4 linked regions of the Lytechinus pictus genome follow. The protein of the gene in region 2 purifies or fractionates together with the protein of the main gene of each other region. This does not show direct contact. Links are inferred from orthologs where the notes say so. Each region holds a gene or a part of one and is shown on either strand. Other genes may lie near its edges.

Region 1 (6,926 bases), on a different chromosome or scaffold from region 2:
TTTACCATATAACCTGCTCTTTGTGAGCATATATTAAAAAAAAAATCAAATTTAGGATGAGATATATGTGAATAACTTAATTGTAACCCTGAAGCCAACACAAAATTGGCATGAAATGCTTTAGATATACAACACTTTGAGGCATTAGAGTTTAAACTGCCCCCCCCCAAAAAAAAAAAATATATAGTTGATTTGAATAAGAGAAAAATAAAACAAGCATAACACATTAAAAAAAAAGTCATATCACTTATCACATCATCACTTTAGGGTCATTGACATGTGACTTATATGTAGTTCATTATGACCTCATTGAGCGTAATTGTGATCTATGCTGTGCATCGCATTACTTTCATTGTTGTACGCGTTGTATATTTTACGCATTCGCGCATGCGCACTAGACTGTTGATGGTCTTATACTCAATGGCAAATTTTGTACACGAGCCTATGGGATATTCATCGGATTTTGGTCACTGTTAGAGATACGCTCTGATACTGCACAGGCAATTGATGCAGACCAAAATAAGCGTTTATAATGTATGGCTAAAATGCTCTATTTAGATAATAATCTCTATTATGAAACATTCTAATTTTCTCATCACTGTCATGTAAAACAAAGTTTTATTCCTCCCTGAACATGTGGAATTACCATTGGTTTAACACTTTATGGTTCAGTCAAGTTGGACATTAATGTCAAATCTGTAAAAATACAAATATTGTACAATTCAAACAATTGAAAACAAAATAGTGAAAGAGGGACACTGTTGACTGTCTGAGGTTACATTTTAGTTGTAAATAATTACTATCATACAATATGACAATAATGAAATACATGTATTTTCCCTTTTCGTTCTTTCTTTCGTTTTTATTTTTGCTTCTTGGTTTCCCTTTTCTATCTTTCTTTCTTTATTTCTTTTTTTTTCCTTCTTTCTTTTTCATTCATTTTTTTTACCTTTTTCCTTTTTTCTATTCTTTCTCTCTCTTTCTTTCATTCTTTGGTCATCATTTTTGGTATTCCTTTCTTCTTTCTTTTTTTCTGTCTTCATTTTCTTCCTTCCCTTGATCTTTTTAATTTTTTTCTTTGTTTTCTTTCTGTTATTCATTTCTTCCATTTTTTTTTTTCCTTTTGGGGGTCTTTCTTTTTTTTCTGTTCATTTGTTTGCTCTTTCCTTCTTTCATTTTATTTTTGCTTTCTGAACCTTTTATGTCTTCTTTTTTACTTTTTCGTCCTTTCTTTTTATTCTCTCTTTCTTTCTTTCTTTATTTATTTTGCTTGTTCTATAGTTAGTACTTACTCTCTTTCTCTATTTTCTTTCTTTATTTTGTGCATGTGCCAAGAAAAGTCAGTCATTGCGTCTAAAATGCCTGTTTCGTGAAATGCGCGCCCAGGATCTGACATTCTCTTGACTTGAATAAACTGCCAGTGAATTTTGATTGGTAGAATCTAATTAGCATGACTAACATTCGACAGCCGTCTGCTTCAAGAAGTTTTTAAACATTTTTAATTTTTTTTATTTCTCCTCATACACAGATGGCTCACGAACGTGCACCCGCCATTAGGGAATTTGCAATGCAAAACCCCAACTGACAGGGATCTTTGTATTCTTTGATTTTTCACTTTATTCTAAATTGAATAATTACATAAAAAGAACTAGCCTAGTTCCACTTCCCGGTAAAGTTAATTAGGCCCTATTCCGTTTTAGCCTCTAGGCCTAGTCTAAACTTAGTCAAAGAAATAAGCTTAATTTAAACAAGGGGGAAAAAAGCAGTGGCTTACTTCGATTTCGGCTGTCTACCCCTGACATGCATGAATGAGCTCTAAATTGACTAAAATAGTAAAATAAGTAACGTTAAAACTTAAAGGTTTGGCTATATACCGCGCACACACGCAGCAGGTGCAGGCGCCCGGTCCCGGAGCGCCGCGGCGGCGCCGGAGCAGGGGCAGGCACCACAGAGCTAAGTCACCAGTAGAGGCGCTGGTCCAAAAATTGGGATTGTCCCAGAAAACAAGGATATCCTTATAAACCAAGACAAATTATGTCTTGATAAATTGAGACTGTCCTTGTTTATGGGGACGTTTTTTCTTCACTTCTCCCTACGGGACAAAGGCAGCAATTAGGGGAATTGAGAGTGCTAAAAATAGATTCAGTGACCTCAATTCCCCCCACTTCACCGTTTATTTATTATGACTTGCCGTCTTCCAATAATCTTGTTATGAAACCCGATATGTTTACATTGACTAGCACTCTTGATTGGTGTCGGCACTCAACAGGTGAATGAACTTTCCTAGATTTCTTGTGTGGAGAAATCCTTATAAACTGAGACAGTCCCTGTAAACGGGGACGATCCCAATTTTCTGACCAGCGCCTCTACTGGTCACGGGCGTCGAGCTGAGCCTGAGTGGTTCCATTCGATACTTCGATTGATTAAATTAAATTTACTCACTGTCCACAAAATCTTTACATTCTTCTTTCAATTCTGTCGTCTGGCTTTGAATTTCAGGTTCCAATACTCGTATTTTGTTTAAGTCATCAAAGTGCAAACCAGCATTTGCAAGAGCTTCGTCAGCCATGGTAACTGCGACTAGTAAATGGTAGGCACTTATGATCCAAGTTTGAAAGGAGACTCGTAAAATGACGTCAGTCTCGCCGATGAATATTCATTAGATCGTGGTCGTGCGTGTTCAATACACACTGCGTGCAGGCATGCAGATAGTTATATGCGAGGAACTTTGGCTCCAGAGACAAGTTGTCAAATAACGTGTGTGTGTACCATCGGCTGGTAGTATGCCATGCTGTCTAATACCCTTTTTACACAGGATTTTCTTAGCCCCGGACTATCGCTAACCCCGTACTATCCTTAACCCCGTACTATTTTTTTTCCTTTTTACACATGCCAAATTGTTATTGCTAACCCCGGATAAGGAATGCTTGCTTTTCACACACGAAACTCGCTAACCCCGGACTAGTGGTTTTTGTCGACCATTCGTAGTACAAGTACTTCACTCGTACCTTTTTACACACGCTACAATTTCCTTAACCCCGTACTATAGGTGGGGCCAAATTGCCATTTAGCCCCACCTATAGTACGGGGTTAAGCTTAGCCCACTTTCGTTTTACACTAGCGATCTTAACCCCGTACTATCGCTCTTAGCACCGCAATTGCTGGGATAACCCTGCTTTTTTGCAGGGCCAAATAGTCCCGTACTAAAGGTGGGGTTAGCCCACTTTGCAAAAATGCTGTGTAAAAAGAAAGTGGGCTAAGCTTAACCCCGTACTATAGGTGGGGCTAAATGGCAATTTAGCCCCACCTATAGTACGGGGTTAAGGAAATTTTAGCGTGTGTAAAAAGGGTATAAGACTTCAAACGCGTCGGAGAGAGTGCATGGCAATTCGGTAAAACGAAGTTTCCGATATAAAGAGATAATAAAATAACACTGTACAGTAGGCCCGGGGGGCCACTTATATTGACGAGTGGATACCATGCACGACCAAAAAAACACGTAAAAAGGATGTCTTTTTCAAGAGAGGGCACGTTACGTACGTAACGTGATAAGGGTGTCAAAAACACAAAAATATTGAACAAAGGGTATCTATTTCCAGTACGTTGAGAGGCAAATGTCAGATCAGGGGAGGCAGGAGTACAATCAGGTTTTTTTAAAGGGAAGAATAGTGTAGAATAAAAGGTATTATATATAGCAAATTGATCTAGGTGAGGGAAGCTTAAGTGAACAATGATGTTTTTAAAAAAAAGAATGAATATACCTTACCTGAATATTATGGTGAAGCCAATTTAAAAGGAGGTGAGACAAGTTTCAATGGAGGTTTTAAAAAAGAATAAACTGTATTATGGTGAAGCCAATTTAAAAGGAGGTGAGGCAAGTTTTAATGGAGGTTTTTAAAAAGAATAAACTGTACTACAAATTATGGTGAAGCCAATTTAAAAGGAGGTGAGGCAAGTTTTAATGGAGGTTTTTAAAAAGAATAAACAGTATTATGGTGAAGCCAATTTAAAAGGATGTGAGGCAAGTTTCAATGGAGGTTTTTAAAAAGAATAAACTGTATATGGTGAAGCCAATTTAAAAGGAGGTGAGGCAAGTTTCAATGGAGGTTTTTAAAACGAATAAACTGTATTATGGTGAAGCCAATTTAAAAGGAGGTGAGGCAAGTTTCAATGGAGGTTTTTAAAAAGAATAAACTGTATTATGGTGAAGCCAATTTAAAAGGAGGTGAGGCAAGTTTCAATGGAGGTTTTTAAAACGAATAAACTGTATATATGGTGAAGCCAATTTAAAAGGAGGTGAGGCAAGTTTCAATGGAGGTTTTTAAAAAGAATAAACTGTATTATGGTGAAGCCAGTTTAAAAGGAGGTGAGGCAAGTTTCAATGGAAGTTTTTAAAAAAGAATAAACTGTACTACAAATTTAAAAGGAGCTGGCGAGGCAAGTTTCAATTGAGGTTTTTAAAAAAGAATAAACTGTACTACAAATTATGGTGAAGCCAATTCAAAAGGAGGTGAGGCAAGTTTCAATGGAGGTTTTACAAAAAGAATAAACTGTACTACAAATTATGGTGAAGCCAATTTAAAAGGAGGTGAGGCAAGTTTCAATGGAGGTTTTTAAAAAAGAATAAACTGTACTACAAATTATGGTGAAGCCAATTCAAAAGGAGGTGAGGCTAGTTTCAATGGAGGTTTAAAAAAATAAACTGTATTATGGTGAAGCCAATTTAAAAGAAGGTGAGGCAAGTTTCAATTGAGGTTTTTTTAAAGAATAAACTGTACTACAAATTTGAAAGGAGGTGAGGCAAGTTTCAATGGAGGTTTTTAAAAAGAATACATGTATTACAAGTTATGGTGAAGCCAATTTAAAAGGAGGTGATCGAGGCAAGCCTCAATGGAGGTTTTTGAAAAGAATAAACTGTATTATGGTGAAGCCAATTTAAAAGGAGGTGAGGCAAGTTTCAATGGAGGTTTTAAAAAAAATAAACTGTACTACAAATTTAAAAGGAGGTGAGGCAAGTTTCAATGGAGGTTTATAAAAAAGAATAAACTGTACTATAAATTATGGTGAAGCCAATTCAAAAGGAGGTGAGGCAAGTTTCAATGGAGGGTTTAAAAAAAGAATAAACTGTACTACAAATTATGGTGAAGCCGATTTAAAAGGAGGTGAGGCAAGTTTCAATGGAGGTTTTTAAAAAGAATAAACTGTATTACAAGTTATGGTGAAGGCAATTTAAAAGGAGGCGAGGCAAGTCCGTTTTTAAAAAGAATAAACTACTACAAATTATGGTGAAGCCAATTTAAAAGGAGGTGAGGCAAGTTTTAATGGAGATTTTTTAAAAGAATAAACTGTACTAAATTTGAAAGGAGGTGAGGCAAGTTTCAATTGAGGTTTTTAAAAAGAATAAACTGTACTACAAATTTGAAAGGAGGTGAGGCAAGTTTCAATGGAGGTTTTTAAAAAGAATAAACTGTACTACAAATTATGGTGAAGCCAATTTAAAAGGAGGTGAGGCAAGCCTCAATGGAGGTTTAAAAAAAAGAATTAACTGTACTACAAATTATGGTGAAGCCAATTTAAAAGGAGGTGAGGCAAGCCTCAATGGAGGTTTTTAAAAAGAATAAACTGTATTATGGTGAAGCCAATTTAAAAGGAGGTGAGGCAAGTTTCAATGGAGGTTTTAAAAAATAAACTGTATTATGGTGAAGCCAATTTAAAAGGAGGTGAGGCAAGTTTCAATGGAGGTTTTAAAAAAAGAATTAACTGTACTACAAATTATGGTGAAGCCAATTTAAAAGGAGGTGAGGCAAGCCTCAATGGAGGTTTTTAAAAAGAATAAACTGTATTACGGTGAAGCCAATTTAAAAGGAGGTGAGGCAAGTTTCAATGGAGGTTTTAAAAAATAAACTGTATTATGGTGAAGCCAATTTAAAAGGAGGTGAGGCAAGTTTCAATTGAGGTTTTTTAAAAGAATAAACTGTACTACAAATTTGAAAGGAGGTGAGGCAAGTTTCAATGGAGGTTTTTAAAAAGAATAAACTGTACTACAAATTTAAAAGGAGGCGAGGCAAGTTTCAATGGAGGTTTTTAAAAAATAATAAACTGTACTACAAATTATGGTGAAGCCAATTTAAAAGGAGGTGAGGCAAGTTTCAATGGAGGTTTTAAAAAAAGAATAAACTGTCGGGAGATAAAATTAGCCACACAAGCTGGAATAAGCCTCCTGCAACCATTTCAAGAAGGCAGAACATAATCTTGTATATAGTTGTTAAACAATCCATATTCACATTTTGTATGGTGAAGATTAGCTTTTTCTTGAAAGAGCTGAACTTTTAAGTAAAGGTTGCAAAACTATGCTTCTACCCCTTTTGTCATTGGTGTGATGTAGTTAAATGTTCAACTTGTAATGAACTTATTGAAACAAGGTATAACTACACAATCACAGAGTAGACCTAATACAAATCAAATATTTTTTTCACAAGAGATACTGTTATGGAGTAATTTAGTACTGTTTTACAACAATTACATTAAAGGACAAGTCCACCCCAACAAAAAGTTGATTTGAATAAAAAGAGAAAAAATCAACAAGCATAACACTGAAAATTTCATCAAAATCGGATGTAAAATAAGAAAGTTATGACATTTTTAAGTTTTGCTTAATTAAAAAAAACAGTTATATGCACATCCTGGTCTGTATGCACCTGAGGAGACTGATGACGTCATCCTCTCACTATTTCTTTTGTATTTTATTATAGGAAATATGAAATATTCTAATTTTCTCCTCAATGTCAAGTGATACAACGATTAATTCCTCCCTGAACATGTGGAATTAGCTTTGTTTAATACTATATGGTTCAGTCAAGTTGGTCCTTATTGTCAAATGTATAGAAAATGAAATATTGTATAATTCAAACAGTAAAAAACAAACG
Region 2 (7,278 bases):
TAATAGGTACCTGACAATCAAATTTTGCGAGCAGCAGCGCGAGCAGAAAATGTTGATATTCATACCATACAATGACATTTTTATAGAGCTTTAAAAAAATGTAAATCAAACAAAATAATGAAAGTTCAATTTCCGAGCTGAAATATGTTTTGTACATTGACTCGATATTTAAAGCTCCATATTGAGCAAGATATTAATGATAATTAATGCAAGAGAGAAAAGTTTATATAGTGACATAAGATATATGTATTTTATTTTCCAAGTCTTATTTTATTTACTCGTCTTCATCCTCTTCCTTTTTTTTCCCATTCTTGTCCCTCTTTTTTTCTTTATTTCCCCCTTTTTTTAAATATTTTTTTGCTCCATAATAAGGGGGGGGGGTAGGGGCCCCTCGGCCCCCTGGATCCGCCTATGACTTAAAAAAGTGGGTAAATTTCCATAAAACCACATTAACCAATATTTATATATATTTATATGGTTTATATTGAGTGACTGTTCAACGTTGCTCCTATTATTTTATATATTTTGGCTATAAACACCCTAATGAAAAGAAAGAAAGACAGACAGACAGACAGAAAAAAGGAAACCACCCGCAAACACCAAAGCAGGGACGTCGTCACACAAGGGGGGGGGGGGGGAAGTCATGGCCCTGGGAAGCGGGTGTGCTGGTGGTGAAGCACTCTTGGGGGTGCTGGGTGTGCTATCTTCCATGAGCAGCACCCTTGGAAATCCGATAGGCATAACCTTATAATGGCAGAAATGTAATAAAAATGCATTTTGTAGGAAAGCCACCCCTTTTAATTTCTTTCTTTCTTTCTTTTTTTGCTTGTCACATTTCTCTGGACCGAAACCACCCACATTTCGTAATGAAAACCCTGTGTGTTTTCTTTTGCTTGTCAAATTCACTTCAGCACCCCCACTAAAAATCGTCCCCAGGGCCCTGTGGCAAGTGGCGGTGAACACTCCATATGATTGTCAAAAATGGTAGATGGGTTAATGGGGAAAATAGTTTCTCGGTAAACTTTAAAAAATAATAAAAAACAACAAGTGCACAACAGCATTTCCATTTCTTTGAATGCAGGATAAAAGAGAAAATGTCGATTCTATAGGGCCTTGTAGTGTTGCGGCTTGCGCCCTCTTGAGGCAGAAACAATATCATGCCCATATCACCGAAACGACCGAAACCATAATCCCTATAATAATAATAGACCTTGAACAGTTGAGAAGATAGTAACTCTTGATAGAGTCAGGGGCGGATCCAGCTTTCGCCAATATAGGGAGAGGGGGGGGGGCGAAATTTTTGTTCACCCATATTTTCCCCGATCGGCCGCTCAAAGTTGATTGTTTTGTTTTGGTATAATGACTTAAAAACTTGACATTTTAAGCTCCATATCAGTCTATTGAGCAAGATATGTATCTAATCGAACATATAATGCGAGCGCGAAGCGCGAGCGAAAATTTCATATAATGATATGAAAGATTTTTTTTCCATGTCTTTCCCTCACTTGTCTTCATGGTCTTCCTCTTCTTTTTTTCCTCCCCTCTTTTTCTTTCATTTTCTTTCTTCCCCTCTCTTTTCCCTTTTTCTTTTTTCTTTGCTCCGCCAATAGGGGGGGGGGGGCGGGCCCCTCGGGCCTCCTGGATCCGCCTATGTATCACAGTAACAAAATATATAAAACGCTGGTTACTATATGAACCTTACAGTAATTGTTTAAACAGTTTTAACAAGTGTTTAAATCTTAAGCAACAAAATTTAATTTTCAATATCTAATTTTCAATAAATTAAAATGTTTAAACGGTTAAACAGATACTGTAAGGTTCATGTAGCAAACAGCGTTGTATGAAATCTTAAACAGTGTTTTACTGTGAGTGTCAACTACCATGACAACAGTGAAAATTCTGCTTCGTGATTCTAATGAAATCTGACATTCCAGCAAGAATTGCTATCTTATCAAATTTTATGAAATGGTCTCAGACGAGTTAAGGACAACTCCACCCCAACTAAAAGTTGAGTTAAATAAAAATAGAAGAATCCAACAAGCATAACACTGAAAATTTCAGCAAAATCGGATGTAAATAAGGAAATTATGACATTTGAAATTTCGACTAATTTCACAAAACAAACCTACTTGCCGTTTTGGATGCAAATGAGGAGACTGATAACATCACTCTCTCATCGTATTTCTTTTGTATGTAATGAGGCCTATATGAATTATGAATATTTTAATTATTTCATTATATAGCATTTCATTATGACTCAGTTAAGTTGGTCCTTAATGGAAAATTGGTGAAAATTGAAATATCATATAATTCAAACAATAAAAAAACTAAAGAAATAGTGATTGATGGAGTACACGGGATGGACATCATCGACTCTCTCATTTTGCATGTCCCTGAGTTCTGCATGATTATGACTGTTTTGTGAAAAATAAGCAAAATTTTAAAATGTAATAATTCCCTTTTTTATATCCGATGTTGATGAAATTTTCAGCGTTATGCTTGTTTTTTTCTCTATTGAATCAACGTTTTTCTGGGGTTTTTAGGCGTAATAGACCATAGTTTCCTTATTGGGAAGCCAGTAATTCAGTAAAACAGAACGTATTAATTTATTAAACAGATAGTAGGCCTATCGTCAATGCTATGAGAGATCCTTACTGGTAGTCCTCATGCTTAAGTTTGTTGTATTGAAATTGTGTATAACATGGAAAAAGTATAGTTTTCACCATATATTTTTTTCTAATGAATATTATCCTCTATTAATTGTTTATTATCATTACTTTTATTAGATCCATTTCACTCTAAACCGAAAAAAAGCTATTTTTTGTAAATTTAGGTAATATCACATTTTAACTCTATACAAATAATGGTTTAAAAGTACTAATTTTGGGGAAAAACAAATTGCCTCCCCCCTTAAACATATACGAATAGACACAAAAAGCAGTTCAGAAAAAGACCACCAAATAAAGAAGTTGTGGCCAAAACGTCTGTGACTTTTTTTTTTTTGGGGGGGGGGGGGGGGCGTGGATTGGCGGCCATTTTGGATTTTGACCGGCACCTTTTTCTTTTGGACCCGAGACAAAAAAAATATTGCCATCATGTGTTGAGATACATAACAACGAATAAAAAAAATATTAAGATTACAAAAAAGGGTAGTTTTGACGCATACATGTATAGCCCCCCCCCACTTCTTATTTCATTAATGAATTTCATTCTAAAATGTATGACAAAACTGAATAATAACCCTCACATAAAAAAAATATGACGGGTGTAATACATGATCTCCATCCAGGGAAAATGCAGGGCCCTGGGAACGATTTTGGGGTGGGGGTGCTGGAGCAATTTTTGACGAGTAAAAAAAAAAGGGGTGGGGGAGCTATAGGTTAAAAAAAAAAAAATTGGCATTTTTAGTACATTTCTCAAAATTTGCAGACCTAACGAAATTCGAAAGGGGTGCTGCCTATGACACGCAGCATCCCCGCTTCCCAGGGCCAGTAATCTTCCTTGGCTGCGCCCGGGGGGGGGGGGGGGGGTCATTGATTGTGGCACAGCTAGAAACAGATAGAAACACATTGAAAACAGAGACGAAACAAAGAGGCATTAAAAGAATGATTAATAAAATAAATACAGCTAAAAATTTAAATTCATGAATTTTCAATCCATATTTTTGTTTGATTGTTTTTTTAAATGCCTTTTTGGTGGGTGACGCATAAACTTTCCCTATATCCGTTATTATCACGTCTCCAGTACACACTTTCATATTGCTCACAGCCAACAAGCTATACCTTGTTTTTCTTCTTTTGGTTCAATCTTTTCGGATGCCTTAATTGGTAGTCATGATGGTACATATAGAGATATATTATAGTATCATCATGGAGGTCGAAAGATGGTATCATAGAGATACTCCACAGTATATATTACTAGTATCTCAATGATTATATAGTTGGCGACAATAGTCAAATATGACTAATCGCCACTCAAACCAACATAAGAAGAAGATGTGATGGTATAGTCTCATAAAACAGATACTTTTAAGTGCATTATTTCAAATACTTTATATTCTGGCAAATTGTAATACCATGAAAGTGTAACATAATACTTAATAACAATAAATAATAACATAAAATATAACTTGATCATTTTCTACCCGAAAAGTGAGATATTTCCCAAGTAATAATTGGTGTGATTATTAGTGAAAACAAAAACGACTGCACTGTATATCATCGCATCTTCACCACCTAGGCTTGCGCTTCGGTCAAAGGTCAAATATTTCCCTGACGATATGGACGCGGTGAAGTTATTTTTGTGAAATGTTCGATATATCGGTACCATTAAACACTTTGAGACACTGTTGTTGAGGTAAGATATACCCTAAATGTATATATTTTTTCAAAGTCTACCAGCCTCTTTTTCACAGCGTATGTTTCTACTAAAGTGTAAGGGATTTGAATATGGAATTGAGCTGCAATGCAAAGCCAAAGCAGCTGCACTAGTTGCAGCGAGCGCAGCGCCAGTGGCAGTGCCGCTCCGGTAGGGGCAGCCGCCGGCCGGGCGGGTAACCAAATAAGCTGCCGCTCCGAGCTCCGCCGGTAAGCGGCGACGGAGGAGCTCTATGTCTTGCCTTCTTGGACCCGTTCCTGCACTGCAGACACCGACTTTAGACTTACCGTGTTTTCCGGAATATAAACCGCACCTTTTTTAGTCGGGGAATCATCTATGGGGGTTGCGGTTTATACACGAACACAGACTGACAGAGTCTCTCAGACTAGTCAGACTCAGAAACTTGTCTTGATATCATATTGATAAGATAGAATTAGAACTTGATTGAGTTGATGAAATACTCAAAATCAAATAGATCTAACGTTTTACTAGATCTAACTATTGTTCGACTAAATACAATGAATGTGCGACATGTTTGAAACATGGACTTGTTAAAAGAATGAAATAAAACTCACTTTTAGTTTTACACCATCCCATCTCTGTCTTTCTCTTGTCAATGTCATCATTTAATGATTTGTTGTGGACGTGACTAGCACTAGCTAGCACTGTCACTTGTCAGTAGAGGCGCATGGCCAATATGGGAGACTCTCTCCAATATGGAAGACAATCTCCCATATTGGAGACTTGCTTTGCAAAAGAACAAAAGAAACAACACCAACAAAAGCAGATTTTTTTTCCACCCAAAATTTTGCCTCACTGAGGTCAGAAGCCCATTTGTTTTGTGTGTGGATGACAACAAAAATCCTTATCAAAACAAAAGTAGATGGTGAATTTTCAAAGTAGACGTTGAAAAGGGGTAATTTTTCATGAGGAATCTGCTCATCACATTTTTATTTGCTGCCAAGCTAATCCTTTTGCAGCAAATGTAAGCAAAGGAAATTGGTCTCCCAAACTGGAGACTCTCTGAAATTGGATACCCAAATTTACAAAAGTCTCTAATATTGGAAATAATCTCTCTCATGGGAGACAGTCTCCCATATTGGCCGTGTTCGGTGAGCGCTCCTCTCTGGCGGCTCTGCAGCGCCTGCTGGCACGGCTGGCCGCAGCTAGCGGCGTACAGGGAGACTGAAGCTTCGCGCAGTTAGAATTAGGCCTAGAATCTAGGTCTATTTTTAAAAAAGACAAAAAAAAAAATTATTTTGAGTTTTTTTACAATGTTAGTTTTTCATTATCAATCACTCACTGTCCACTGACTCAAGTCAAGACAGTCAAGCTCAGTGAGACAGATGAAACCATGCTCATGCAGTGTTTCAATTGACTGAGTCAAGGTCAAAAAATGGATCACTTCGTCTTCGTACATGCATTCCATTGACATGTGCAGGGGTCTGCTTCATTAAAAGAGATTCATAAAATGTTTTTGCTGTCATGTGCTCAATGGCCAGTAAATGTCAAGGATTCCGTGGATGTTACAATTAAAATCACTGACTAGACAGCAAAGTTAACTTCAATTGTAACTTCCATGCAATACTAAATAGGGCCTTGGTTGGCTTCAAAATGAAAGACGTTTGGCCAGACAGTACTGTTAGTCTTTTCTTGTCTTTCTGTTAATGCCTGCAATCATTGTTTTGATTATTACTTTACTTTAAGTCCATGATGCTGTAGGCTTGAGTTGAGTGCCTGTTCATCGATCGTAGTATCTCCTCTGGTGGTAGTACAGTATCCATGGTATTAAAACAAAATATATAGATATACCGATACTTAACACGAGTATCTCCTCTGGTGGTAGTACAGTATCCATGGTATTAAAACAAAATATATAGATATACCAGTACTTAACACGAGAAAGGACTGTCAGAAGTGTGTACATGTATGCTAACAAACGTGGAATAGCATATGAATGTAAAGATTGACTTTACCTGAATTTTGCTGGCTAAGTATTATAAAGGCTCTGTCAAAATTCTGTGAAATGATTAGATGTGACAGAACTGTCAAGAGTCAACACTACAGTTTTCCTCCGTTCTAACTTGTGCTACTTAATCCGTATTCTCTAATTCGGACTAATTTTTCTGTTCAATAATTTTTTTTCTTCAAATTGTCACTCCTGACCCTTGCATTTTATTTGCGTGTGTCAGGTAAAATTTGTTTACGCACATGTAAGATAGATAATGAATATTGGTGGCACATATATTATGAAACTATGCAGTATGCCTAGCAATTGAGTCTGGGAACTCTTGTTGGAATGCTCCCCAAGGAGCGGAGAAGGTGCATACATTGTATGCGGGCATGCAAGGATGCGATGACCGGGGTAATAATATATCTGTAAAGCGCTTAGAAACATCGTTCCGATGTGTTAAAAGCTATATAAATGCAGAATATTATTATTTAACTATCAATTATATCTCTTTCTGTTGCAGCATCCTACTCTGGGAGAAGAGCAATGTCATAGGAATCCACTGTGTCGTCCATTATCATCAACAGACATTTTTTTCATATGAAGTGGCATCACAACAGCTTGTAAGCTGAAAGATACCCAGTTGTATGATCTTCATACAATTTTTTGAAATTTTTTTCTTTACAATTACCATCAAATTTTAACTGAAAGTTTGATTCTGAGAGGTTACACTGAACAGCCTCTATAAGCAATTTTTGGACACTGGGGATACTGGTGTAAGAAGTCAGTGTCCATACAAGAACCCAGGGATATAGTATCCCAAGAGACTCTTAATCAAGATGGGGGAAGAGAAAGGAAGAGATGACAGCAGTGAGATCGGGCCAGGCCAGATGTATCAGCATTACATCATCATGGAAGACCTACTTGATAAACTAAAGGTACGTGTAATA
Region 3 (6,854 bases), about 21 Mb from region 2:
CGGTCATGTTCTGCAATACAGGGGTCTGCAAATCTCTCTCCTGGTCGCCTCCAGACTCTCGAACGTCCATCATTGTGGTCAAGGGAAAATCTGCTCTCATCTGTGAACAGAACTCTACGCCATTGCTGTCTGGTCCATCTGACATGCTCCCGGGCCCAGTTGAGACGAATTCTTCTGTGAGCAGGGGTGAGTGGGACACACTGAGCTGGCCGTCTGGCATGCATTTTGGCTCTGTGAAGTCGGTTACGGATTGTTTGAGTGGAAACAATCACTCCAGTTGCTGCAGCGAAGTCATTGTTGAGGCGGCGTGCACTGTGAAAGCGGTTGCGGAGGCTGAGATTCGTCAAGTAGCGATCATCTCTAGGAGGCTGGAGCCAACGCCGGAGACGGAGTTCAGTGGAACAACCAACATAACACTAACAGAGACCAAAGCTTTTGGTCTACTTTGAATGAAACAGTCTGTTAAGTTTAGTTTACTCCAACGATGTTGTAGGACTAACGCACTCGCACGTATTGCGAGGTTAGTATACTATACTTAGTCCGGGTTATAATTGAGCAAGGTGCCACTTGGAGAAGGAGAAATTTTCATATAATGCTTCTAGACCAGTTTTTTACGCTGAATATGAATATATGAGGTAAACAGGCTGTATCCTGAAAATTAACCTGTGAGGGCGCTTTTTTCAAAATGGCCGCCAGATTTTCATAAAATTTGAATATTCGTACATAGATTTTTACATAAGCATCCAATTGCCATGAAGTTAGTGTCATATGAAAGCCAATTAAATTTCCTACAATTTGGTACTATTTATAGGGGATAAGTAGGTCATTTAGCCGAGATTTTAAGTAGAAAACTGCATTTTTTGTATTTTTTCCCAAAAATTGAAAATTTTGCAAATACATGATTTTACATAATTCTAAGAAAAATGAATCAATTACCTTGAAATGTTCCTGAAGACTTTTAAAATATATTATTATCACGTGGATGAAATTTCAACTTTGTATCATTTTTCTAAGCAAATTTGTAAGGTATCAAACTTGAATTCTGCAATATCATAAATGTTGCTTTTTGTATGCATTTCCATAGACTAATACGTATAACATGTATAATGCATGTATGTATAATGTTTACCGGTAGTTAAAAATTAAATGCAATTATCTCCGCTTGTACCACGTGGAGAATTAAGAGTAGGCTTTTCTGTATCAGCTACATAAAAAAAAATGTTGGCACATCAAGGCCTGACCCTCTCATGGGGGTGGGGGTGTCGAAGTCACCCCTTTGCTATATCATGTTGTTGTATATTGCCTATTTGTTAAAAAAATTACATATTTTTTGAGCACCCATGGAGGCAAAAACAGGCATTTCTGCTATACAGTACAGCCACTTTGATTGCTTTGAAACCACTTGGAGAGGAAAGAATAGGCTTGTTCTACCAGCTATACATCTAAAGAAGTAGCACATCGAAGCCTACCCCTCTCGGGGTGGGGGGGGGGGGGGGGAACTTTTGCTTAATATTGCCAATTTATTTGAAAATTTACAATTTTGGACCCAACATTCAGGCCAAAAAGCGTTTGTGCTTTGTTGTACACCCCGTTTTATTGATTTGAAACCACTTAGAGAGGAAAGAGTAGAATAAGGTAGAGTTTATCAGCTACATATATATAAGCGCTGGCACGTCGAACCCTAGCCCTCTCAGGGGCTGTCTAAGTCAACCCCCTCCCCCCGCCCTCTATATCATGTATATTGCCTATTTTATTGGATATTTCACCATTTTGGATCACCCATTGAGGCAAAAGCGCGTTTCTACTATATAGTACAGCCAATTTTATTTTCTTGCAATGACTTGGAGAAGAAAGAGTATTATAATAGACTTTGCTCTATCAGCTATAAAGAAGTGTTGGCAAATCGAAGCCTCTCCCCTTCAGAATGTTCAGCGGGCTGTAGAATTTACCTTACCAATTTTCGGTATTTGACTATCTATTAGACATTCACAATTTTGGATCACCTATTAAAGCAAAAGGGCGTTTCTACTATAGAGTACAGCAAATTCTATTTACTTGCAATGACTTGGAGAGGAAAGAGTAGGCTTTGCCTTATTAGCTCCATATAAAGAAGTGTTGGCAAATCGAAGCCTATCTCCTTCAGGCTGTAAAAGTTACCTCACTAATTTTCGGTATTTGGCTACTTGTTGAAAATTCACTATTGTTGAGCCCCCATTAAAGCAAAAAGGCGTCTCTGATATATAGTTCTGCCACTTTTATTGCCTTTAAACCGCTTAGAGAGGAATGAATAGGCTTTGCTCTATCAGCTATAGAGATGTGTTGGCAAATAAAAGCTTACCCCCTTCTGGGGGCTGTCAAAGTCACCCCCTCTCCCCTTTGCATTATTGCCTATTTATTGGAAAATTCACAATTTTTGAGCCCCCATTGAGGTAAAAAAGAATCTCTGATACATGTATGTAGTTCTGCCACTTTTACTGCCTTGAAAGAGTAGGTGGACAGAATATGCTTTGCTCTATCAGCTACATATAAAGAAGTGTTGGCACATTGAAGCTTACCCATCTGGGCGGCTGTCAAACCATTCCACCCCTTTTGCATTATTGCCTAATTATTTGAAAATTCACAATTTTGAGCCCCCATTGAGGTAGTATGCACTTCTGCTGTATAAAAAAAACCGATTTCATTTTCTTGAAACCATTTGGAGAGCAAAGAGTAGGTTCTCCTCTTTTAGCTATATATGTCGAATTGCTGCCGTATCGACGCCTGACCCACTTCAGGGACTATACATGTAGCTGTAACCCCACCTTTTTTACGATTTTTGCCAATTCATTGAAAAACTCGCAATTTTCGAGCCCCCATTGAGGCAAAAAGGTGTTTCTGGTATATAGTAGAGCCACTTCTTTATATAGCTGATAGAGGAAAGTCTACTCTTTCAAGGTGGTAATAGTGGCAGAACTATATATCAGAACCGCCTTTTTGTCTCAATGGGGGCACCAAAATGGTGAATTTTCAATAAATAAGCAATAATGAAAAGGGGGTGGGGTGATTTCAACAGTCCTCTGATGGGGATATGCTTTATACGTAGCTTTTAAAGCAAAGCCTTTATTCTTTTCCCTCCAAGTGGTTTCAAGGGTGAAAAAATGCAGAACTATATATCAGAAATACCCTTTTGCCTCAATGGGGGCTCCAAAATGGTGAATTTCAAGAGGGGGGGGGGTAATTTCGACAGTCCCCTGAAGGGAGTAGGCTTTTACATGTATTTGCCAGCACATATTTGTATGTAGCTGATAGAGCAAAGCCTATTGCCATGATTGTTTCCTCTCCAAGTGGTTTCAAGGTAGTAAAAAAGGCAGAGTTGTAATCATAAATGACTTTTTGCCTCAATGGGGGTTTCAAAACGGTGAATTTTTTTCAATAAATAGGCAATAATTCAAAAGGGATGGGGTGATTTCAACAGCCTCCCGGAGGGGGTAGGCTTTTATTTGCCAGCACTTCTTTATCTTCTTTATATGTGGCTGATAACGCAAAACCTATTCTTTCCTCCCTAAGTGGTTTCAAGGCAGTAAAGGTGGAAGAACTATATATCAGAACCGCCTTTTTGCCTCAATGGGGGCTCCAAAATGGTGAATTTCAAGAGGGGGGGGGGGGTAATTTCGACAGTCCCCTGAAGGGAGTAGGCTCTTATTTGCCAGCAAATCTTTGTCTGTGGATGATAGAGCAAAGCCTATTGCCATGATTGTTTCCTCTCCAAGTGGTTTCAAGGTAGTAAAAAAGGCAGAGTTCTAATCAGAAATGACTTTTTGCCTCAATGGGGGTTTCAAAACGGTGATTTTTTTTTCAATAAATATGCAATAATGCAAAAGGGATGGGGTGATTTCAACTGCATCCCGGAGGGGGTAGGCTTTTATTTGCCAGCACTTGTTAATATATAGCTGATAGAGCAAAGTCTACTCTTTCCTATCCAAGTCATTGCAAGAAATTAAAATTGGCTGTACCATACAGTGCGTATAAAAAAACGGGACAGATTTGAAAAGTCTATAAAAATTTTGTTTCAAATAATGATGTCTATATTTTGGTGTTAATAGATGCGCTAAGGTCTTATCTTTGAAATGCAATTAAAAAAGATAAATTTTGTTCATGCTTGAGCGAACGCAGGACGTTTTTGTTGGGGGTTCAAAAAGAGGCTTGCGCCAGAATTGCAGAATATTAATAATATGATGATCAGATGATCAGACTTCTTGCTAATCGGGAGACTTCCTCTTGTCCTTTTCATTATCTGTGCCACAATTTTCGAATTATGCTGTCAAATTTCATTTACAAATTTATTCATTTAATTGATATTTTGTTTTTTTCATTTAAACTTCTCTTACCTTTTAATTTTCCTTCATAAGTAACTGAGAAAAGAAGATTTTTTGTCAACCCAAGCAAGAAGATTTGAATTATTAATTGGGAAAACTTGTGATTATTCAAATCCTTTTATTATGTGAAACAAACTATGTTATGTACCTTTAAAAGACATGAATCTTTTTTTCAAGGGGTCATTAATTCCTTGACCAAGTTTATTTGCTTGACAGTAAACACAGGAAGCGATTCATGTCTTTCAATGACATGAATCCCTTGTATGTATTGAGTCAATTTTGAAGGAGCTAGATATGGAAGATCGGGTAAAATGTATTAAAAAGTTGTGAGCGAGCGAAGTGAGCACGCAAATATTCCCACTTTTTTATTACAATATCAAATTTTTTGATAGATTTTGACAAAATATTTAGAAAATAACACATTTTACTTTCTATCTTTCCTTTTATTTCCTGTCCACTCTTTTTCTTGGTCATGATTTTTTTTGAGGGGGGGGGGGGACATCCCGAGCGCCCGCCCATCTGTGTGGCACTGTTCAAAAGGCACCATAACCTTTGTAGCACTCAATGAAAGGATTTGAATAAAAAAATCCATGCTCTCCCATAATTCGATTGAAACAAAATTGTTTTAGCTTGAAGAAGGAATATTCAAAGCTAACAGAGAGCATATTAAAAAGAAACAACAGAATAATTCAAGCAAATAAATAGATCTGAAAATGAATTTTGACCGCATGATTTGAAAATCATGGCAAAGATAGTGAAAAGGTTAAGAGGAAGTCTGCTAATTAGCAAGAAGTCCGATCATCATATTTATAATTTTATGCCATTTTGGTGCAAGCCTCCTTTTAAACCCCAGACAAAAACATTCCGTGTTCGCTCAAGCATGAACGAAACTAAATTTTTTTAATAGCATTTGAAAGATAAGACCTTAGAGCACCTATTAACACCAAAATATAGACATCATAATTTGAAACAAACATTTTATAGACTTTTCAAATCTGTCCCGTTTTTTTCTATACGCACTGTATAGTAGAAATGCCCTTTTGCCTTATTGGTGATTTAAAATGGTGTAATTTTCAATAAATAGGCAATATACATGATATAGAGGAGGGGGGGGGGTGACTTTGACAGCACCTGAGAGGGCTAGGGTTCGATGTGAGTGCGCTTATTTATGTAGCTGGTAGAACGAACTCTACTCTTTCAAATCAATAAAATGGGGTGTATTATAATGCACAAACGCTTTTTTTGCCTCAATGTTGGGTCCAAAATGGTGAATTTCCAAATGAATTAGCAATTAGCAAGAGGGGGAGGGGTGACCTCCATACCCCCCCCCTCCCCACCGAGAGAGGTAGGCTTCGATGTTCTACTTCTTTTGATGTAGCTGGGAGAACAAAGCCTACTCTTTTCCTCTCCAAGTGGTTTTAAAGTAATTAAAGTGGTTGTACTGTATAAAAAGAATTGCCTTTTGCCTCAATGGGTGCTTCAGAAAATAGTGATTTTCCAATAAATACAACAACATGATATGGCCACGGGGTGGGGGGGGGGGGACTTCGACACCCCCACCCCATGAGAATGTGTTAGGCTTCGATGTGCCAACACTTTCTTCTATGTAGCTGATAGAGAAAAGCCTACATTAACTAGCGGAGATAATTGCATTTAAGTTTTAACTATACATTATACATACATGTATTATACATGTTATACGTATTAGTCTATGGAAATGCATACAAAAAGCAACATTTCTGATATTGAAGAATTCAAGTTTGATACCTTATAAATTTGCTTAGAAAAATGATACAGAGTTTAAATTTCATCCATGTGATAATAATATAGTACAGTTTTCAGGAACATTTCAAGGTAATTAATTCATTTTTCTTAGAATTATGTAAAATCATGTATTTGCAAACTTTTCAATTTTTGGGAAAAAATACAAAAAATGAAGTTTTCTACTTGAAATCTCGGTTAAATGACCTGCTTATCCCCTATAAATAGTATCAAATTGAAGGAAATTTAATTGGCTTTCATATGACACTAACTTCATGGCAATTGGATGCTTATGTCAAAATCTATGTACGAATATTCAAATTTTATGAAAATTTGGCGGCCATTTTGAAAAAAGCGCCCTCACGGGTTAATTTTCAGGATACAGCCTGTTTACCTCATATATTCATATTCAGCGTAAAAAACTGGTCTAGAAGCATTATATGAAAATTTCTCCTTCTCCAAGTGGCACCTTGCTCAATTATAACCCGGACTAACTAACCTCGCAATATGTGCGAGTGCTACGAACGTGTCTACGCAATCAGTGCCGTACCTAGGATTTTCCACAGGGGGGGCAAAACCGTCCGCCAAAAAATTTGACAAGCAAAAAAAAAAAAATAAATAAGGTCCTCAATCACAGACAAAGGATTTCGTACCAGAAAAAAAATAAAATAAAAAAGTCAATCACAAATAAAGGATTTCGTACCAGAAAAAAATTGACAAAAAAAAAGGTCTTCAAGC
Region 4 (7,894 bases), on a different chromosome or scaffold from region 2:
GCACTGCAAAGTAAAGTATTTTGAAATTGTAGACAATTTTTTTTTAATGGTCCATGAAATAATTCATTTTTTTAGCTTCATGACATAACGCATCGGTTCTGCAGTTAAAGTGAAGAAGATGAGAAAAATCAGCTCATACCCGCAGCTAATCAATCACCTGTTCATCTATTGTGACGTCAGCGCGCAGAGTGTAAACTATGCGCAGACCATAATGCGCACAAACATAACTGTGGAACGTCCTTAATTGGTTTTAATCTATTTGGATTTTGACATTAAATTTTTCCGAAGTTACAATAGGTTTCACTTTTCAATCCACGACCGTGGTAATTAGTGACGAATGTGACAAATGAAGGATTTCTTAACTGGGAAGAAAGGGGACGAGGAAGTCACAACAAGCCTAATTCAAGTTAGCACAAAATGACATAATCATCTACAAAAGAAATCTAGCTGATATCAGTTTTGGGGGGAGGCAATCCAGGGGTGCCCCAATTAACCTGTCACTGGGAAGTAAGCATAATTCCCTTGCTAACATAATGTATGCCTTCCGATTTTTTTTTTTGCTTTATTTTGTGATTAGTTGAATGCAAACGATATAATTGGTCAGGAAAGATACAAATTTATGAGAATCACAGTTTGAAGGTTATTTGTATGTTTGTCTAGCTTTCATAAACATTTAATGAGCAATGAAAATTTCGCAAAATTATCATAATTGATAATTTGGAGCGTTGTGGCCCAGTGGATTAGTCTTCAGACTTTGAAACAGAGGGTCGTGGGTTCGAATCCCAGCCATGGCGTAATTTCCTTCGGCAAGAAACTGATCCACAATGTGCTGCACTCAACCCAGGTGAGGTAAATGGGTACCGGTAGGAAGTAATTCCTTAAAAAGCTGTGTGCGCTATGAACGCCTAGCTTAGCCGGGTAATAATATAGGAGCGCCTTGAGCACCTAACAAGGTGGATATGTGCGCAATATAAATACCCTATATTATTATTATTATTATAATTATTTCCATCCGTTCATGTCTTTACTGTATATTGTTAATTCTGCCCCCATTGGCCAGCCATTGAGTCAGAGGGCTGGGGACAAAGTCCTCTGGATCATGGGATCACCACAGAGAGGAGCAAGCCGTATACCTCTTACGATTTTTTAAAAATAATTTAAGAAGGAAAAATGATAAAACTGAGATAAATTTTTAGTTAGAAAAAAGTGCAGAAATAGGACGATAGGATTAAAAGGGAATCGGATAGGAAGGAGGAAGATGAATCAAAATAGGGGGCGTGGCAGGGGTGCACATCATGTTTTTTTTTTTTTTATCAAACTCGTTGAACTGTACCCCTATTTTACATCTGCCAAAAAAATATGTCTAGGCTTATTATGTCGCCTAAATACCATGGCCTTTCCCAATATGACCATGGCTGTTGCTTAAAGGGATGATCCGGGCTGAAAATGTTTATATCTAAATAAATATAGTAAAATTCACAAAGCAAAATGCTGAAAATTTCATCAAAATCGGATAACAAAAATAATAACAAAGTTATTGAATTCTAAAGTTTATCAATATTTGTGAAAACAGTTATATGCACATCGACATGAATATTCATTAGGTGGGCTGATGATGTCACATCCCCACTTTCCTTTTTTCTGTTTTTATCACATGAACTCATAAATGTTTTTTTTTTTTTTTCATACATGTGTAAATGATGTGGATCAGTTATGATGAAATACACTGTATATTGCAGCAATAAATAACTAATGAACTAAATCAGTTGTAAATCCAATTGTTTTAGTTCTTGGTAGATAAATGTTGAATAAACCTGATTTCATGTAATAAAATACAAAAGAACAAATGGAGATATGACATCATCAGCTCACCTAATGAATTTTCAAAAAGACATGCCTAGAACTATGTTTCACCGGAATAATGCAAATCTTTAAAATTAAAAAAACTTCGTTATTTGTTATGCGATTTCGATCAAATTTTCAGCATTTTGCTTTTTGAATTTTAGTCTATTCATTTAGATATAATTATCTCCAGCCTGGACCATCCCTTTAAAATAATAGGCTATCTTCGCCCAAGGTTTTCAATCGGATGTGTTTACAACACTGCCCAAGGTTCTGACTCTGCAGTCTAAATTTCATGTCAATTTTCCAGGTCATTCAACATTTCGCCGGTCTAAACTGAACAATATCATCAAAACGCCATGAGAAGGGACGTTTTGAATACGGAGCGAGCGATGGAACCCGCAAAATGTTATTGATCGATTCAGGACATTGATATGAGGTTTACCATACAAATGTAATTTTCTTAAAGATGTGTTTATTATTTTCTCTCATAATCCAACACATGTTCATATACGAATCACCCAACAAAATCAAACAAATTATTTTTGCCACTGGCTTTACGCAAAACAAAATGAGTCATGCATTAAAAGGTAGCAAAGAATGCTGATGACTAAAAAAAACCTTCGTGCAGTGTCTTGATTGCCAGATATTTTGTCACGTACTCGATTTATTGTATATTTGCTTTGTTGATTTGGAAAAGTTGCAGAAATCATAAATGAAATTATGAAAATGAAATATTGCAGTCATCCAAAGCTGCCGTCCATGATAAATTATTTTCATTATATTGAAATTATCAACACTGCAACACCACATACTTTTTAAGCCCCCCCCCCCACAACACCACAAATCACAACAATAAACAAATAACCGTCTCCTCTTTTTTTTTTACTCTAGAATATTCCAAATGCGTTCTTATACAACTATTAAAGGGTTACAAGCATAACTTCGAATCCCCCAGCCTCCCATATTTAGATGGTCAATCTAATTTATGTTTGTTTCAGCTTCTTAATTAGATCTCCCTTTGGGTTCGAGGAACCACTTACTCCCCTATGCATGAGCATTTGGCAGGGATCAGAGCTAACAGAATCATTTTCTCTCTAACGGGTATTTGGAAGGAAAGCCAGTAAAATTACCCCCTAAATACATTATGTTTGTGGAAGACTTTAAACTTTCCTCGTTAACTTTTTATCTGTAAAGAAAAAAATCAAAGAGACCACCCTTTCAATGAATCTTTAGGATTTTCCCTTCGAAATAATGAGCGTGCGTGACGAGGTCCAGATTACTTAATAATATTATCAAAATGATATATAATCAATCAGTGGCGTACCTAGGATTTTCCAAAGGGGGTCAAATTTCGTTCGCCAAAAAAATTGACAAGCAAAAAAAAAAAAAAAGGTCTTTAAGTTCAAAGGAGGGGGCCACTTGTGGCTCGTCAGGGATCAGTTTTGACTCGTCAGGGGGGACAGGGATACGTCCTTTGCATGAGTTGTGACTCGTCAGGGGGGGGGGGCAGTCTGCCCCCTTAGGTATACGCTAGTGTAATCAATAGTTATTTCCGTTGTGTATTTTTATCATAAAATATACATCTACGGTATGTCTTTCACATACTTAGTACTGTTGTTAATTATGATCATGAAAAAAATATAAAGAGTAGAGCTTATCCATTGTTTCCCCAAATTAAATTTTACGTTAGGTAGGCCTACATGTATATCTGGCATAATTGAGCGAAATAAGGCCAGTGACGATATTCCCCCAATCAAATTTTACGTTAGGTAGGCCTATGTATATCTGACATAAAAATTATTGAGCGAAATAAGGCCAGTGACGATATTCGGCCCCCAATTCAATTTTACGTTAGGTAGGCCTACATGTATGTCTGGCATAATAAATTGAGCGAAATAAGGCCAGTGACGATATTAATATCTATTATATATCTTTAACACAAGTCAACCCTTTTGGCAATAAAAATTGTTATTTTCAGCATAATGAGATAGTAAATTAAGGACGTTCCACAGTTATGTTTGTGCGCATTATGATCTGCGCATAGTTTACACCATAGACAAATAAATACGGTTTACACTCTGCGCGCTGACGTCACAATGGATGAACAGGTGATTAATTAGCTGCGGGTATGTGCTGATTTTTCTCATCTTCTGCACTTTAACTGCAGATCCGATGCGTTATTTCATGAAGCTAAAAATTGGAATTATTCCATGGACCATTCAAAAAAAGATTCTCTACAATTTCAAAATACTTTACTCTGCAGTGCTGCCAAGAATCACGAATATTACCCCGAGTTTGAATAAATGGTAGAGTGGCTTTGATTTTTTCTTCACATAGATACTAAGCATTCGGCGCATTTTTGGTGTTTTAAAAAGCACATTTGCTCTAATAAAAATACTGATAGTTTAAAAACAAGCACATATGAACCCCTATTTTTTAATGTTTGTTCCTCTTAGGTAAACCGTCCTCTACAACTCTACAAATTTTGGTGAAAATGACATGGATTTTGAATAAAGTGCAGCATTTATTGTACTTTTGTAGTTTGTTACTGAAATTTCACATTTTTTAGATTGGGATTTTGTTATCTTTTACGCCATTTTTAAGAACTGACAGTGCTGTTAAACTTAAAATTGCAAACAAATAGCATTATAAATATATTCTCCATTCTAACGATACAATTATTAACTCTCTTGCGAAATTTGATGACTTTTTCATGTATTTTGACTGAGTAATAGAGGTTTAAACTCATTGTAGTAATCTTAGGGCGGTCTAAAAATGCCAAATTCTTTTGGATGCGCAATTCTTAAGAACATCAATTTGGGTGAACTTTGAAGTTCTATAGCAAAAAATCAAGCACATGGACCTATGTTAATTTTTGCATATTTCGAATATTAAGGTTCTAAAGTATCTATGTGCAAAGTTTGGTGAAAATGATATGGATTTCACTTTAACTGTACTGTGGAACGTCCTTAAACAAACTATTTTCAGCAGCCATCGAATCTGCATCTATCTTACAAGGACGCCCTCTACGTACAAATTACAGAGTAGCATTTTTCTGCAGCTATATAGCTAGCAGTCGACTTTATCAATTAATTTAAGTAATAATAGTTAGCGGTGCTCGTTGTTGTGAATTCCGGTACTAAGTAGCCGGACCATTAAGGAGCGCAGTCTGAATTACTTCTGGTATCAAGATGAAAGCAAAGATACTGATGATTGGGCCAACAGAGGTATGAATTGCTGGTTATTTGGCAGTCAGGCGCGTACGAGTACCGGCGCGGCGGTACCGGTACCATTAACGGAGCTGCGCACCCGCTCTGCAGGGTCAGCTCCGGGTACCGTCTCCGTAGCTACCGTTCATTTGCGGCCTCTTGCCTGAGGCTGAGAAGTGGGATGAAGAGGCAGTGACAATTCTTTATTCATGGAATTAGGCAGTGGGCGTAGGCTTTGTAGGTACTTTTTAGGCTTAGATATAGGCTAGGTTAGACAATGGTGATGTACCGGTACTTGCGCCAATAATGACATGATGTAGCTGGCAGCCGTCTGTTTCGAGGAGTTTCTTATTTTTAACATAGGCCCTATTAATTTTTTTTTAATTTCTCGTACACAGACGTCTCGCGATCGTGCAGCTGCCATTACTCATTAGGGGGTTAACAATGCAAAATCCTCCTGACGGGGCTCATTGATTTTTGTCTTTGTGGTCTTTATTTCATAAACAGAACGCCATGGGTTAATAATAATAAGGGCACAACTATAATGTAAAACTAAAAGAAATAAATAAACTAGACAACTTTGAGGTTACGTGTAACTGTCTTTAACCCTTTCCACGCGTACTTCGCACCAATGCACACTCAGTGCCGTGCGAACTTCGCATTTCACACTCAACAAACAATGCATTGTTTCCCTCCCTGAAAATAATTCAGTACAGATGCGCACAAAGAGTTAATAACCGTGGCCAAGAGACCAACACAAGGTGGTGCGCTTACAACTTAGCGCATGTAACATTGAATCATCATTATAATTGTAAAACAACATACTGGCGGAACTGTACCAAAATAAAGATTTTTATTCCTTTTTTGCCTGAAATGCACCAAAACGGGAAAATAAACTGAAAAGGAAAAAAACAGTGACTTTCATGCTTACATATATTTTTCTATAATGAATATTAACATACTTAAGGCACAGGAAATACTACCGGTATTTCTTTACATGATGAATGCGTAGCTTTACGACTCCTAATGTACATCAGGCGGCAGCTGCAGCAAAATAAAGATGTGTTTTGAAAACACAGCAGGACTTTTTGTAAGTGAGTTTGTGGTATTTTCTTCTTGCTTAAGGATCTTTAGAATATTTACCACAAATTAGTGACAGATCATTTGTTCAAATATTAAAATTGGCATAATTAGGTCCCCCATCATACATCCAATGTTGAAATTAAAAATATTGTCTTAAAGAAAAATAAAATATTGAGGAATGAAATATTCCTGTAGAATGAAGAATTATTTAATGAGACTAATTTAATTGACTAATATATACTGTCTTTGGAGCGTTGTGGCCCAGTGGATTAGTCTTCTGACTTTGAAACAGGGGGACGTTGGTTCAAATCCCAGCCATGGCGTAGTTTCCTTCAGCAAAAAATTTATCCACATTGTGCTGCACTCAACCCAGGTAAGTTGAATGGGTACCAGGCAGGACTAATTCCTTGAATGCACCGAGTGCTGAAAGGCAGCTCGCGCTAAAGCCGGGGAAATAATAATAAAAAATGCGCCTCGGAATAGATTATTTCTAGATAGATGGCACTATATAAATGCCTATTATTATTATGATGCAACATTGACATCGAACAAAAGTTGAGAGTGTAACGTGCAAGCGCCATTTGAATTCAATAAATGGACAAAATGTAACTCATCATACCTCAGCACACCTCATTGGCTTAGTGAGATGAGAGTGCTATAAAGCAGCATTTCTCATTGGATACTAGTATTTCTTCAAAAATTGTTGCATGTTTCCAAGATAAAATTAAGATTTATGGTTCTCAGAATACCAATTCAAGGGGATTTTAAGGATATTTTGTCTCACTGATTTTAACAGGAATAAAATATTTTATTTTTATTAAAGATAAAGTAGATCTCAGAAATGAGAATACCACACCTGGTCCTATCATGGGATCTGGATTGTGTAACATTTGTATTTGGCTCCAGTGTGTCTTGAAGATTGATGTTAAGGGAATAGATTTAGACTGGCAAATTAGAAACAATTATTTGCATGATAATCAGATATTGTAGTGGCAATATTTGCCTCCCCTGACAAAGTTATAAAAGTAAAAGGGTAAGATATAATGTGATAGAAATAATGAATTGGGAAATGGAGGGGGCAGGGAAATTGTAAGAGAAAACAAGGGAGAAAAAAAGATACCCCAAAAGAAGAGAAAAAGAACAGAAAAAAAATTGTGGAGTGATAAAAAGTCTTTGAAAAAGTCTCCTCCATCCAAAATATGAGAATGACAATTCAGAACTAAGCTCTGCTAGAAGGGAGAGCATGGCAATGGTAATCCGCCAATGTAATGCCTAAAGGCAAGGATGAGAAAAATAAAAGGAGGAAGAAAAGGGAAGAAGGGGAAGGGAAGAATTTCAATTAGCAAAATTTTAGGTCAATGTATCAAAATTAAATTTATGCTTGTGCTTTTAGCTTGCATTCCATTTTTTAATGAGTACTTTTCATGAGGGGATCACAGTGAATGTCTTGTTTTCAAGTATAAAAAGTATTTTAGCTCACGCTTTCATTAGTTTGCTATACTTGTATGCATCATGTTTATGATTACAAAATAGCGCGTGAAATGTCCCATATTCTGGTCCAAATTATGAAACTAAAATCAGCCAGATGTGCTTTATTCACATTATTTCTTCAATGTATGTAATCATGTGTACGATTTTCTATAAATAGTCTTAAACTCTCTCCAGGTTGGCCTATTTCTTTTGTGGCATGTAACATATTTTTCAAAAAGATCTTAAAATGTTTTGTTGTCAGAGTAGCAATTTGCATTTCAGCTTGC

What was found.
Region 1: the proteins of intraflagellar transport protein 57 homolog (region 2) and intraflagellar transport protein 20 homolog purify together in Homo sapiens (affinity purification with mass spectrometry; 3 studies listed by BioGRID and IntAct, counting the BioPlex papers as one, with this or other methods). This does not show direct contact. The link is inferred for Lytechinus pictus from reciprocal best matches to the Homo sapiens genes IFT57 and IFT20.
Region 3: the proteins of intraflagellar transport protein 57 homolog (region 2) and intraflagellar transport protein 46 homolog purify together in Homo sapiens (affinity purification with mass spectrometry; 3 studies listed by BioGRID and IntAct, counting the BioPlex papers as one, with this or other methods). This does not show direct contact. The link is inferred for Lytechinus pictus from reciprocal best matches to the Homo sapiens genes IFT57 and IFT46.
Region 4: the proteins of intraflagellar transport protein 57 homolog (region 2) and intraflagellar transport protein 22 homolog purify together in Homo sapiens (affinity purification with mass spectrometry; 3 studies listed by BioGRID and IntAct, counting the BioPlex papers as one, with this or other methods). This does not show direct contact. The link is inferred for Lytechinus pictus from reciprocal best matches to the Homo sapiens genes IFT57 and IFT22.

Annotation. Positions count from the first base shown.
Region 1 is NC_087246.1:4,617,669-4,624,594, forward strand, and holds the start of intraflagellar transport protein 20 homolog, read right to left. Parts: upstream 3,026-6,926; 5' UTR 2,570-3,025; coding exon 2,443-2,569; intron 1-2,442. UniProt on the Homo sapiens protein: Part of intraflagellar transport (IFT) particles involved in ciliary process assembly. May play a role in the trafficking of ciliary membrane proteins from the Golgi complex to the cilium.
Region 2 is NC_087252.1:13,083,932-13,091,209, reverse strand, and holds the start of intraflagellar transport protein 57 homolog, read left to right. Parts: upstream 1-4,254; 5' UTR 4,255-4,356; intron 4,357-6,851; 5' UTR 6,852-7,167; coding exon 7,168-7,266; intron 7,267-7,278. UniProt on the Homo sapiens protein: Required for the formation of cilia. Plays an indirect role in sonic hedgehog signaling, cilia being required for all activity of the hedgehog pathway.
Region 3 is NC_087252.1:34,530,759-34,537,612, reverse strand, and holds the start of intraflagellar transport protein 46 homolog, read left to right. Parts: upstream 1-3,851; coding exon 3,852-3,893; intron 3,894-6,854. UniProt on the Homo sapiens protein: Forms part of a complex involved in intraflagellar transport (IFT), the bi-directional movement of particles required for the assembly, maintenance and functioning of primary cilia. May play a role in chondrocyte maturation and skeletogenesis.
Region 4 is NC_087246.1:23,441,020-23,448,913, forward strand, and holds the start of intraflagellar transport protein 22 homolog, read left to right. Parts: upstream 1-4,872; 5' UTR 4,873-5,036; coding exon 5,037-5,072; intron 5,073-7,894. UniProt on the Homo sapiens protein: Small GTPase-like component of the intraflagellar transport (IFT) complex B.